Linked DNA regions of Struthio camelus. The protein of the gene in region 3 purifies or fractionates together with the protein of the main gene of each other region. This does not show direct contact. Links are inferred from orthologs where the notes say so. Each region holds a gene or a part of one and is shown on either strand. Other genes may lie near its edges. The genes, in order: gamma-tubulin complex component 3, C7H10orf88 and NEDD1.

The links.
Region 1: the proteins of NEDD1 (region 3) and gamma-tubulin complex component 3 purify together in Homo sapiens (affinity purification with mass spectrometry; 3 studies listed by BioGRID and IntAct, with this or other methods). This does not show direct contact. The link is inferred for Struthio camelus from reciprocal best matches to the Homo sapiens genes NEDD1 and TUBGCP3.
Region 2: the proteins of NEDD1 (region 3) and C7H10orf88 purify together in Homo sapiens (co-immunoprecipitation; 3 studies listed by BioGRID and IntAct, counting the BioPlex papers as one, with this or other methods). This does not show direct contact. The link is inferred for Struthio camelus from reciprocal best matches to the Homo sapiens genes NEDD1 and C10orf88.

The regions. Positions count from the first base shown.
Region 1 is NC_090942.1:157,254,660-157,258,406, reverse strand, and holds the start of gamma-tubulin complex component 3, read right to left. Parts: upstream 2,719-3,747; 5' UTR 2,408-2,718; coding exon 2,332-2,407; intron 1-2,331. UniProt on the Homo sapiens protein: Component of the gamma-tubulin ring complex (gTuRC) which mediates microtubule nucleation.
Region 2 is NC_090948.1:5,466,099-5,469,845, forward strand, and holds the start of C7H10orf88 (ATPase PAAT), read left to right. Parts: upstream 1-1,207; coding exon 1,208-1,458; intron 1,459-1,597; coding exon 1,598-1,813; intron 1,814-2,343; coding exon 2,344-2,416; intron 2,417-2,936; coding exon 2,937-3,143; intron 3,144-3,747. Other genes in the region: disintegrin and metalloproteinase domain-containing protein 9, read right to left, coding at 1-20. UniProt on the Homo sapiens protein: ATPase that regulates mitochondrial ABC transporters ABCB7, ABCB8/MITOSUR and ABCB10. Regulates mitochondrial ferric concentration and heme biosynthesis and plays a role in the maintenance of mitochondrial homeostasis and cell survival.
Region 3 is NC_090942.1:52,707,279-52,711,025, reverse strand, and holds the start of NEDD1 (protein NEDD1), read right to left. Parts: upstream 2,628-3,747; 5' UTR 2,522-2,627; intron 2,474-2,521; exon of another isoform or gene 2,349-2,473; intron 1,199-2,348; 5' UTR 1,191-1,198; coding exon 1,055-1,190; intron 1-1,054. UniProt on the Homo sapiens protein: Required for mitosis progression. Promotes the nucleation of microtubules from the spindle.

The DNA.
Region 1 (3,747 bases), about 100 Mb from region 3:
TAACCCGCAAGTGATCAGAGGCAGTAGACTACAGGTGGCATGCAGCAACTTAGTACGATTATGGGTAACTTCCTACAAGCTTCCTCTTTCATCAGTCACACACACATGGGGTGGGGGGGGAAGGAGGGAACACTTTTAGTTACATGAGTGGAAGCCTAGCATATAGGAATAAGTTCAACGCTTATTAAAAAAAATTTCATGTCCTGCTTTTTTTGCAGGCTAGTGCATGCAAGCATATATGAGCTTGCAAATAAACTTATTACAACATTCAGAACGGAGAAAAACATATAGAAATTACAGCTCCAAAAGGAAGGCTAGATTCAAAGTCAGCAGAAATAGCCAGCCTCTCCTTAACACTCATGCCACAATTGATAAATGCAGGATACTTTTCTATTTCTATTCTTCTTCTCTGTTTAAGTTTTACAAATGTCACATACCTAACTAAAATGCTCTTTACCAACACAAACTTAGATCAATTCATACTGTAGTTCCCTACGTGTCTAAAAAAAGAGTCATCAAGAAAACAGGATTCAGCAACTCAACATTGACAACATAAGAACCTAACAGATGTCTCCACTGCTCTAATAATGCAGGTCAATTTCTCCCCCCTCCTTTTTTTTTTTTTTTTTTTTTTTAAAGGTGGGGGAATTAGCACAATAATTTGAATTTTCTTGTGAAAGTTTGAAGTGCTCTTGAATATAAAAATACTGTAATTGCATTAGAAAAATATTTCCAAGTTATTTCAAAGATGAGAAACAGCTTTAAAAGTAAGGTTCCAATAGCATCTTATAATTGTATGCTGATGTGAAATACCCTTTAATATATAATTAAGCGAGCTGCTAAAATAAACATATGGCTCCATAAAAACTGCAGGAGGTATTACACAGTTTAGAAGCTAGCATTACAAGCTGAAATATCATTTTTATTTTACTCAGGAGCAATTTGTAAAAGTGATTTTTGGAATCTGCTCTCTTATCAGAGGATATAAATAGTTCCTCACTGAAATTAAGGAAAGTACTCAAATCCTGTTGAAGGGGGTTGGTTGCAAAGTACGGAATAGCCCACATAAGACCGAAAAAAAGACATACTAACAGAAAGGGAACAGGATTTTAAGGCAAAAACAAACAAAAGAAAACAGTAACCAACATCTTAAAGGATGTTTCTGTGAAAGGGTCCCTATTCAACACTCCAGCGAAGGCAAGGAGATTCCAAACTCCTCCAAGCTTCTCAGCTCTCCAATAGATAGAGTGAAAAAATATGAAATAATAAGACAACAAATATATATACCTCTGCACCTTGTTGCTCATTTTCCAGACTTCAAAGACAACAGTAATTCATTCATAGGCCACATTTCAGTCAGACTGAACTAAGTTCTTTACAATAGGTCAGTACTCAAAATTATTACTGTTACTGTCATGCAGATTTCTAAAGGTAACCCCCAGTGACTTTTGGGAAAACAGTGGCAAGAGAAAAACACAAAAAAGACTTGGCAGCTAATACGAAATGTGGCTTTCTTCCATGTTCGTACGAGAAAATGGACAGAACACAAGGCAGGTCATAAATTTCTCTGGTGAGCAATGCTTATAAACAGCATTGCTATTTTTTCCGATAGCACTTAGAAAGGAGTCATAGCAGATGCACCTCCTCCTTTCCACCCTCCAACCGCCTGCTAAAAACAGAAGCTTTGCCTTGCTTGCAACAGACAGAAATTATGCAAACACCCCGAGATTCAACCTCTCGCTAGAACATCACAGCAAAAATACAGATGATCTAGGAGGTTTCATTCAGCTGCCACAGCAGTTACCAGACTCGAGGAGGCATCCGAGGAAGATGGAGGTTTATGAAGACATACATAAGCCACCCCTTGCTCCAGCCACCCAAGCAGCAGTGCCCCACTCCACAGCAGAGGGGAGCGCTGCCGGGGGAGGACACGGAGGTGTGACAAGCCCACCTCCCTGCCGCAGAGCGCCCAAGCAGCCCACAGCTCAGGCTTGGCGCGACCGCCCCCCATCCCCAGCCGGCGGCAGGGCCTCCCGGAGCCGCTCTCTCGGGCCGCCAGCGCGGAGCCGCCCGCCCGCCGGCGGGCGGGGGTCAGGCTGGGGATACGTACACGCTGCCCGCCGCGGGGGAAGGCCCTCGCCAGCCCGCTCGGCCAGGGCCGCCGCCTCCCTACCGCCAGGGCAGCGCGACCCTCCCCCGCCGCCTCGCCCGGCCGTTGCCGCCTCGCCCCGCTCCGCGCGCGCGGGGATGGGGGGCGGGGGGGGGAGGAAGGCTGCTCCGCGACCCAACGGCCGCCAAGGGGGGCGCGGCGGGGGGAGGGGGGGCCGTTACCTTCGCTCTTGCCCAGGATGCGGCAGCAGAGGTTCTGCAGCAAGACGTTGGGCGACTTCTGGTCCGGACTCGCCATCCTCGCCCGGGGGAGGGAGGCGGCGGGGAGGGAAGAGGAGAAGGAGGCAGGGGCGGGAGCGAGGAGAGACGCGGCGGGATAACAGGGGAGGGACAGGAGAAGAGGCTCCTCTCCTCTAACCGGCGCGCGACCCCGACGACACCTCCGATCACCCGGCCGTTACCTAAGGCGCCATTTTAACAGAACCCGCCGAAAGCCGCAGCGGCGGCAGCCGAGCGCCCACAATGCCCCTGCGCGCCGGGCGGCACCGGAGCGCGCCTCGCCGAACACGCTCCCCCGCGCCGCCCGCAGCCGCAGCGCCGAGGTTCCGGGCGCGCGCTCGGCCCCCGGCCCCCCTTGGGTCCGCCTGCCCCGGCGGTGCCGCCCTGGCCGTGGCCGTGGCCGTGGCCAAGCCACCCCCGGAGGCGTGCAGCGCAAGCCAACCCCGGCCGAAGGTGCCCCAAACACTGAAAATTCCCACCCTGCGACCACTTTCCACTTGTTGAAACTGTCCTTTCATCCCCCTCCCCAAACCGAAAGAGATCAAATCCTCTCGTTTCTGCCCCCAGAAGAGCAAGTCGCTCACGGCCTTGCTATCACGCTATAATTTACAGTGAAGTATAATTGACATTAACTTACTTTTTTTTTTTTTAAGCCTGGAAAAATATCAATGCATGTTGATAACCTTTCCACATAAAATTGTTACAAATCAATGCAGATCTGCAAAATACTTCAATATCTCAAATCGACATCTTCTCTACATTGCGCTGCCTTGTGGATGTGCAGCCCATGCATCCCGCTGAGGTCCCCAGTCTCCTGCTGTTGTGGTTGGCGTTGGAGAGTAAAGCGGTACCCCTGAGGTGTTTGCCACTCCTGAAGGATGAGATACCTGTCATCTGCCAACTATGCTGAAATCACTAAAGAAATCTCAATGTAAAAAGTACAATGTTTTTATTTTATGAAAACTTACAGCTTGGCAAATTGGTTACTATCATTTGGACACAGAGCTTATCATCAAACAATAACGTAACTTTTGTAATCAGGGGTGTGCTTCAGGCATTTTCCAGTCAGCAGGTTGCCTTATCAAGCTAGCTCTTGGGCTGTTTCAGGCAACATGCTCTTAACTGGGATCCAGACCTTTGACAAACCTGCTCCTCAAGTTTATCACTTCCCTGAAAGAGATACTGACTTTTGAGGATGCCTCTCCTTCATTTCTCGTATTCAGTCAATTCACGCTAGGTCCAGCTCAAATTCTATCACTAGGGAATAATTATTATCCCTGTGCTGCTGGAGCTCAGTATAACCCAGCTCCCTCTTGTCTAGTAAAGGTGCTTCAAAATGCCGCAGCAGCCAGGTGGACG
Region 2 (3,747 bases), on a different chromosome or scaffold from region 3:
AACAGGCTGTGTTTTAACATGACTAGATTTCCTGGAGAAACTACTACAGTATCCAAGCAAACACTGCGTATCTGGCTCTTAGTTTCTCCATACAGAAGAACCAGAAGACCAAGAACCACCTGCCCAGAAGGCAAACAATAGAAAAAACAGTGATACTTCACCTCTGCTGAGGAAAGGGGAAGTAAAATTTCACCCTTTGAGCTTGGCAAAAAAAAAAAAAAAAAGCAAAAAAACTGGTTAGACAGCTTAATGCAAACAAAAAGCAGCACATTCTGAAACGCTGGTTGGAGAAAGTCAGCCAAATCATGGCAGGACCAAACTGGTTTCTTCTAAAAGACTGAGACTGATAATGCAGCAAGATTATAAGGGATAAGAAACATAAAGTATTGCTACCAGCAAATAACGTAAGATAATTAATACTGACTATTTTCAGCTCCCAAAAAAAAAAACCCTACTATAAAAAAAATCTACTCTTTGTAATTCCAGCTCATTGTTTTCTATTTTTTATATTTACTTCAAAAATATGTAAAAAATACATATGAAACCATGGAAATCCCATAAACATATATAACTCAGGGATTTTACTCAGGCCATTGTACATTAAAGATAATTCCCATCGAAAGTCTTAATTTATCACTCCTCAAAGAGCAGAATAACCCTCTGAAGCACCAGGCAGCACGTTGCCATCAAATTTAAAAAATGAATGTTTTCAAAACTGGACGAATTGACAGCACATTTTGGAAACATCAAGCACATTTTAGGAACTCAAACAGGAGAACCACGCAACACAGTCTTCCTGCTCCATTTTTTTTAATTAAAAACACAGGGATTTTCAACTTTACAAGGGATCCTGGCAGATATTCATTTTTTCTCCGGCTGCCGGTGAACCACATAAACCAGTTTCTCGCCCGAGTCCGCTGCTCCCGACAGTCACGTCCCGGCCGCCGCGGGAGGAGAAACTCTCACTCCTCCCCCCAGGAACTAGGATCCGACTGAAAGGCACATGAAACTGATTTCATACTTGTAGTCTCTTCTCTGAGTGATACACTGCCAGCACCCCCAGCACGGGAGACCAAATCACGCTCGTCCAAAATCTACCGTTCACTGCGACACCCGCTTCCCGCCACACGCGCCCCTCACACACACCCGCCGCCGGGCGCCGCCTCACCGCGCATGCGCACAGCCCCCCCCCCCCCCGGCCTGGCGCATGCGCCTGCCGCCGCTCCGCTCCGCTGCCGCTCCCGGCGGCGTCTGGCTGGCGGCCGGCGCGGCCGTGGCGATGGCGAGCCGCTGCCCGGCGGCGGCGGCGGCCGCTGCCCTTGCCCTTGCCGGCGGCTCCCGGTGTGGCGTGGGCCGCGTGGCGGCGAGTTGCTCGTGGCCCTGCGCGCCGCCGGGCGGCCTGGCCCGCGCGCTCTGCCTGCGGCGCGGCGACGGAGGGGACGGCGACGAGGAGGTGAGGTGAGGTGAGGCGAGGCGAGGCGAGGGCGGGGGGCCGGGCCGGGCCTCTCCTCTCCTCCGGCCGCGCTTTGCGGGGCGCGGCCCGGCGGGCCGGGGCGGGCCTGGTGGCGCCACGCGGCTCTGTGGGCTCCCTGCGCAGCAGCCAGGCGGAGGCGGCGGTGGTGGCGGCGGAGCGGCCTGCCGGCGGCGGGGAAGACGCGGCCTGCGTGCTGCGGCTGGAGTGCGAGCCGCCGGGCTGCGAGGAGATGGTGTGCGTGGCCGTGGTGAGCCAGGCGCGGCACATGGAGGTGTACGTGGGCGAGGAGTACTGCGGCACGGGCCGCGGCCGGAGCGTGGGCGCCCTGCGGCCCCGCGGGTGAGTAGCGGCCTGCGCTGCGGGCTCCGCGGCGGCGGTGGTGGGCGAGGCGAGGCCAGGGGGTTATATCTCTGCGGCTGGAGAACGGCAGAGAAAAGAGAAAGAAAGCGGGAAAGGCTTGTTTTTCCCCCTCGGTATTGCCTTCCACGCTTTGCCCCCGGAGCTAAAAGCTGAGCGAAAACATGCTATGTTAAGTCATGAAGCGTTATAAGTTCTTTGCTTGTTAGGCAAAGAGAAGCAACCGGCTTGGAGTTTCCGTGTCAATAACGGACCAGACTTCGAAAGCTGCTGTAGTAGATAAGTCAAGCACACACAAAAATCCTGTGTTTCCTTTTTTTGCACACACATCCCACGAGGTTCAGTACGTGTTGAATACAAGCATTAAAACGGCCGTATTATGTTAGAGTATGTTTCAGTCACTTTTGTTTCTTACCTGAATAACTAGTGGTATTTTGTAATTCTGCAACAAATGACAGAGCAAAAAGTGCCTTATATAGTGATGTCACAGTCCATTTATTTTATTTTTCTAGTGAAACTGAAAAAGTTACTTTATACAAAAAGTATCTCAAGCTGGAATGCCCTACAGCTTCCTGTAGAATTAAGGTAGGGACTTCAATGGAATTATTTAACCTTTCATTGTCTTTTTAATCACTTCTTTGAATAAAGTTCTCTTGTATTGCTGTTAGTCAAGTTATTGCAATTTTCGTACAGTAATTGTTTCACATAATTACTTAAGAAGACCTAGTATGTGTGTATGAAAACAATATCCTCTTAGTGAAAAAACTTCTTAAACTGGATAAATTGTAGCTAGTCAGCAGTCGATCAGAACTGCAAACTGATTCATTCACTGCTAACTCTGTGCAGTTAAATAACCTAATGAAAATCTATATGGCTACTGCTCCTCTTAACTGCTTAGAAGATCAAGGCTTAATTTATCCTTGGTGGCACGCATCTTCTGTTCCAGTCAGTTTTCTAACAGTAATGGCAAGGTAAAATGAGCTTAATTTCCCCAGAAAATACCCCCATATATATGCGTATATAAACACACAGAGTGGTGCGTTGTCTCAAATGACGAAAATACAGTTATTTCCTAACCAAAATATTTTTTCCCTTCTTGCAATAGCTGCTCTCCATTGGTGAAAAACAAAGCGTACTCATCAGTAAAATAATTGTACAAGTGAAAGCAGTGTCTGCAAAACTAGCAACTGATTTTCCTTCACTAGGATCAAGCATAGATCTAAACAGAGTGCAAACTATAATGGAATCTATGGGGTCAAAGTTGTCTCCAGGTGCTCAGCAGCTCATGGACATGGTTCGATTTCAGCAGAAAGTAAGTCATTGTGCTTTTCTGTAAACACGAATAGTGCTAATATGAGACCTTGTCTTCTGTAATAATTGAGCATGTTCTAAACTGATTTGATGAAAAAGCTGTTTTTTAACCCAAACTTTCTGCCATTTAAATCCTGGTTTGGCTATTGCCAAGCTTAAAAAGGTGAACGTGAATGATGATTGTGTACCCAAGGAAATCACCGTGCATAGATCAAGTCCCGAGTTAACAACTTTGCATCATCATCATCATCTTAAACTTCACTGTCACTGTATCCTCCTGCCTCCCTTGCTTTCCCTTCTGTTTTTTTCAGTTGTCAGTGCTTGTCATTTCATGGTAAGGATGGTGGATGTGTTTCCTGTTATGTTCGGGGTGCAGGTGGATGGGCTAGTTTGTCTGTCTGTCTCTTCTGTCTTTAATAAAGGCCCATGATTTTCAGATAAAGGAAACAAACCCTGAAAGGGCTTTTATTTGATTTAGATCCCAGTCCTCCAAAGCGGGCTATTTCAACAAAATCCTGTATCCACCTGATGTAAAGAACTGATCGGTCTTGGGGCCGTAGCATAATGAAAATTTGATTCAAAAAATTGCTGTCAGGAAAACTGTT
Region 3 (3,747 bases):
ACCCATAATGATTTTGTATTTGCTTAATTAAGAATATAGGTTAATTGTTGGATTTAACACCACAAGAATTGGTAGGCCGCCGAGAGAGCGAGAGAGAGAGAGCGAGAGAGAGAGAGCGAGAGAGAGAGAGCGAGAGAGAGAGAGATATGCTTTTCTTCCCCCCCCCCCCCAACTATGCTTCAATTTCTTGGGAATTTCCAAGCTAAAATACCGATGTGTACTCCGACTATTGCAAATTTTTGCCTTCTCATTCATTCACTCACTTGCAGGCTTAGAGGATAGATGCATTCAGAACTTTTAGGGCATCATTTTTATTTGTCAGCAACCTGCCTTTCTTTTACATCAAGACCAGATATTGCTCTTTTTCCCATGACAGCCATATAACATCTATTCACCTGAAATTTCTCATATACTCATATCTACTTGGCACCACATATCATGATCCTGTAATAGGCCTCCAAGACAGAGGGCCAAACGTCTACATGGGCCAGATCCATTTCCCAGGACAAACCAATGCCATGGATGGATCCAACACATTTGTGTTTCCTCTGTAAATGCTGTAACCAGTAAACAGAAGACCAATGCTTAGACAGTAAGAAACTTAAGTATACTCTGTCAGACAGAGGCCATTTCTAACAGAATCAGTGAGAAACTGTTAAACAAAACAAAACAAAAAATTATTCTCTACATTAAATATAGAATTTTACTACATTAGCAATTTCTTTGTTGAACCTTATCAATAAACTAATTACTGCCTTGAATGTGAATTTTGTAATCAATCACTAAAGAAACAAATGAGTAAGATGTGCGGTTGACAGTCCTCCTAAAGGAGGACTAACATCTTCAGAAGCATCTACCAGCATGAGTTTATTTTGTGAAACTTAAATGCAGGCAACCACAAAAATTTCTTCACAGTATGTAAGAATCCTTTTATGCAAGGCTTTTCAAGATCAGATAAGACCTTTCATTTAGAGATAACTTAATAATAATAAAAAAAATGCACTGCAATTTTGCATAACTCCCATAAAACTATGGCTAAAGTAGTAAAGGATACTATTACTAGCCCAACACAGTGAGCTGACTGGATGTGCGGGTGTATGCGGGTTGAACTGCTCCACTACGGTTACAGATGAGGAATCCCATATTTTTATGTCATCTCCTGATGAAGCAAAACGTATGCTTTCTTGCATGGCTGCACCTATTTATGTAAAAATAAATAAAAATTAAGTAACAGTTCACTTTGCAAGTTAAGAAGAATTTCATCAATACCATTTTATACCGTTTTCTTGATAAGACAGATATTTATTTGGAGAGTTACGCAAGTAGCACCATTCAACTGAGCACACTGCTGAAAGCAGCAGACACTCCTCGCTTTAGTTACTTTAATTCTTGCAGGAAACATACGCGTTCCTTTTCACAAACAAAACATCAACCTCTCTGCACTACCAATACGTCTAAAATCCATGCAGTTAATAATCTACAAGCCTGGAACTCGAGCTGCTATCAGAAATGAAAACGATGTTTTACGTGCCCATATATCCGTAGAGTTTACGGATATCTAACACGAAGTCCTGAGTATTTCAAGGACTCACTTGTCAACAGCAGATGGAGCTATACAAGCTAGAATCAAACCGACTGTTGCAACAGGGAAACACTGGAAGTTAGGACCTAAAGGACTCCAGCGTCCCTCTCCCCATCCTACAGGAGAAGGTGGAGAATCTTTTAAACTAAACGTTCAACAGTAGAAGACGAGCGACAATGAATTACTTTTCAATGCAGCTTTCACAACGTAAACCGTACTACCATTTGTTTTGACAGTAGCCGTTTTTAGAGTTAAATCTGGAATTAGCTAGTCTGATTCTATAAAGTTTATTCTCAGCTTTTATTCTGGCTAATTTGAAACTCAGACAACAAGCGAGGCCCCAAAAGGCGAACCCTTCGTTGATTTCAAAGCATAATAACCCTTCAGTCAAAGGAGTTCTTGGGACGTTTCTGGACAGTTTCCGTTCCCTGATTCTCACAGCTCAAAACGCCTGAGACAAACCCGCGAAACTGAGGAAACCGAGCCAGGAAACTGGAGGTCCGCAGCTGCCTTGGCTCCGCCGCGGCCCAGGACATCAGGCGCGGAGCCGCTCCGCCACCCCACACTCCTCCTCACGACTCGCACCCCCCGGCCACGCTCCGCACGGGCAGCCCCGGAGGACAGGAGGGAGCGAGCGAGCGAGCGAAACGAGCCGCTCCGCGCACCGCCACGGCCGCCTGGCCCGGCCCGGCCCCGCCACCAGCGCTGCCCCAGCGCCCTCCTCGAGCGCTTGGGGTCGGCCGCCCGCCCCGCCCCTGCTGCCCACCTGGCCGGGCGGCAGCGGCCTGCAAGGCCGCCGCCGAGCCGAACCGAGCCGCGCCGAGCCGAGCCCCTTCGCCTCCCCTGCCGCCCCGGCCGAGCGCCGCCGCCGCCGCGGGGATGGGGCCCGGGCGCCGGCCTTCCCGATTGGCTCAGGCGCCCCTGCTCCCAGTTCTCTACCGGGTCCGTCAGGCACTCCCAGCCAATGAGTGCCGCCCCTCCCGGGCGCTCTCCCTCCCCAGCCGACTTTCCGCGCGGCATCCAAGTTAACAGCCCGTCCCAACAGCCTCCGCGCGCTTTCCCCTGCCCTATCCCCCGGCCGCTACGGTGGCCCGGAGGGGGCGAAGCGGTGGCGGAGTGCGCGAGCGAGCGCGCGCGCGCGCGGGCCGTTGTCGGCGGCCGTTGGCGGGGGCCCAACGTCTGAGAGGGGCGCGGAGCGCTGGGCCGCGGTGGCGCTGGGAGGCGTGGCGGGCGCCGGGCTGAGGCGGCGGCGGCGGCCGCCGCCCGCCCACCCGCTGTGGCCTTCAGGGGAAGCGGGCTCCCTTCTTGCCTTGGCGACGGCAGAGCCGGCAGCGGCACGGAGCCCCTGGCTGGGGACTGCTAAAGAAAGCTGGAACCAGCCACGTATTAACAAGTCCTTTGCTCCATGATGGGCCGATTTTGAGTGAAACCCGAATCCTGTACCTGCTGCGTTCAAATTGTGAACTTGGGAGGAGGGGATGTATAGGGCGGGGGGCACAGTGGGGTCCTTAACCTCTGCTGGGACAACAACATCACAAATATAAATAACAGTAATAAATACCTTCTAACTGGAAAAGTTCCTGATCTGAACCTGCCAAATGATGTCCACTTTTAATTACAGATGTTGTGCTCACAACATACCTATTGGGCATGTACCCCATTGCACACTTTCCATTTAATTCCAGTAACAGAATCTTTGTGGCTGTATCCTGACTTTGAATATAGCTACCAGTCCAGCCACACTGACTTCTATAGAAAGGTATTTTTCATATAGTAGAATAAAAGCTAGCAGTTCTGCAAATGATGTATTTTCACAGTCTTTGCTTTTTAAACCTAAGTAGAACAGCATTCAGTAAAAGATTGTCTTTAAAGGCTCTTAGACATGAAAACTGTAGTTAAACTAAATGATGCTACAGAGGTCTGGTTTCAAATGAATCTTTACCTTATAAATGGCTCCAAGCATTGCTAGATATGAAATTCCCCATTCACTCTCCATTTATGATGGAGTTTTGATTTACCAAGTTGTTTCACTTCTAGTCTACGTGAACTCAGCACTAGGAGAAAAAATATTACTTCTGTACAAAATACCATTATTATTTCCAGACAGCATAAGCATCATGTGTTACTGCATCTATTCATCCTCATTAATCAATCATCAGTCCTAT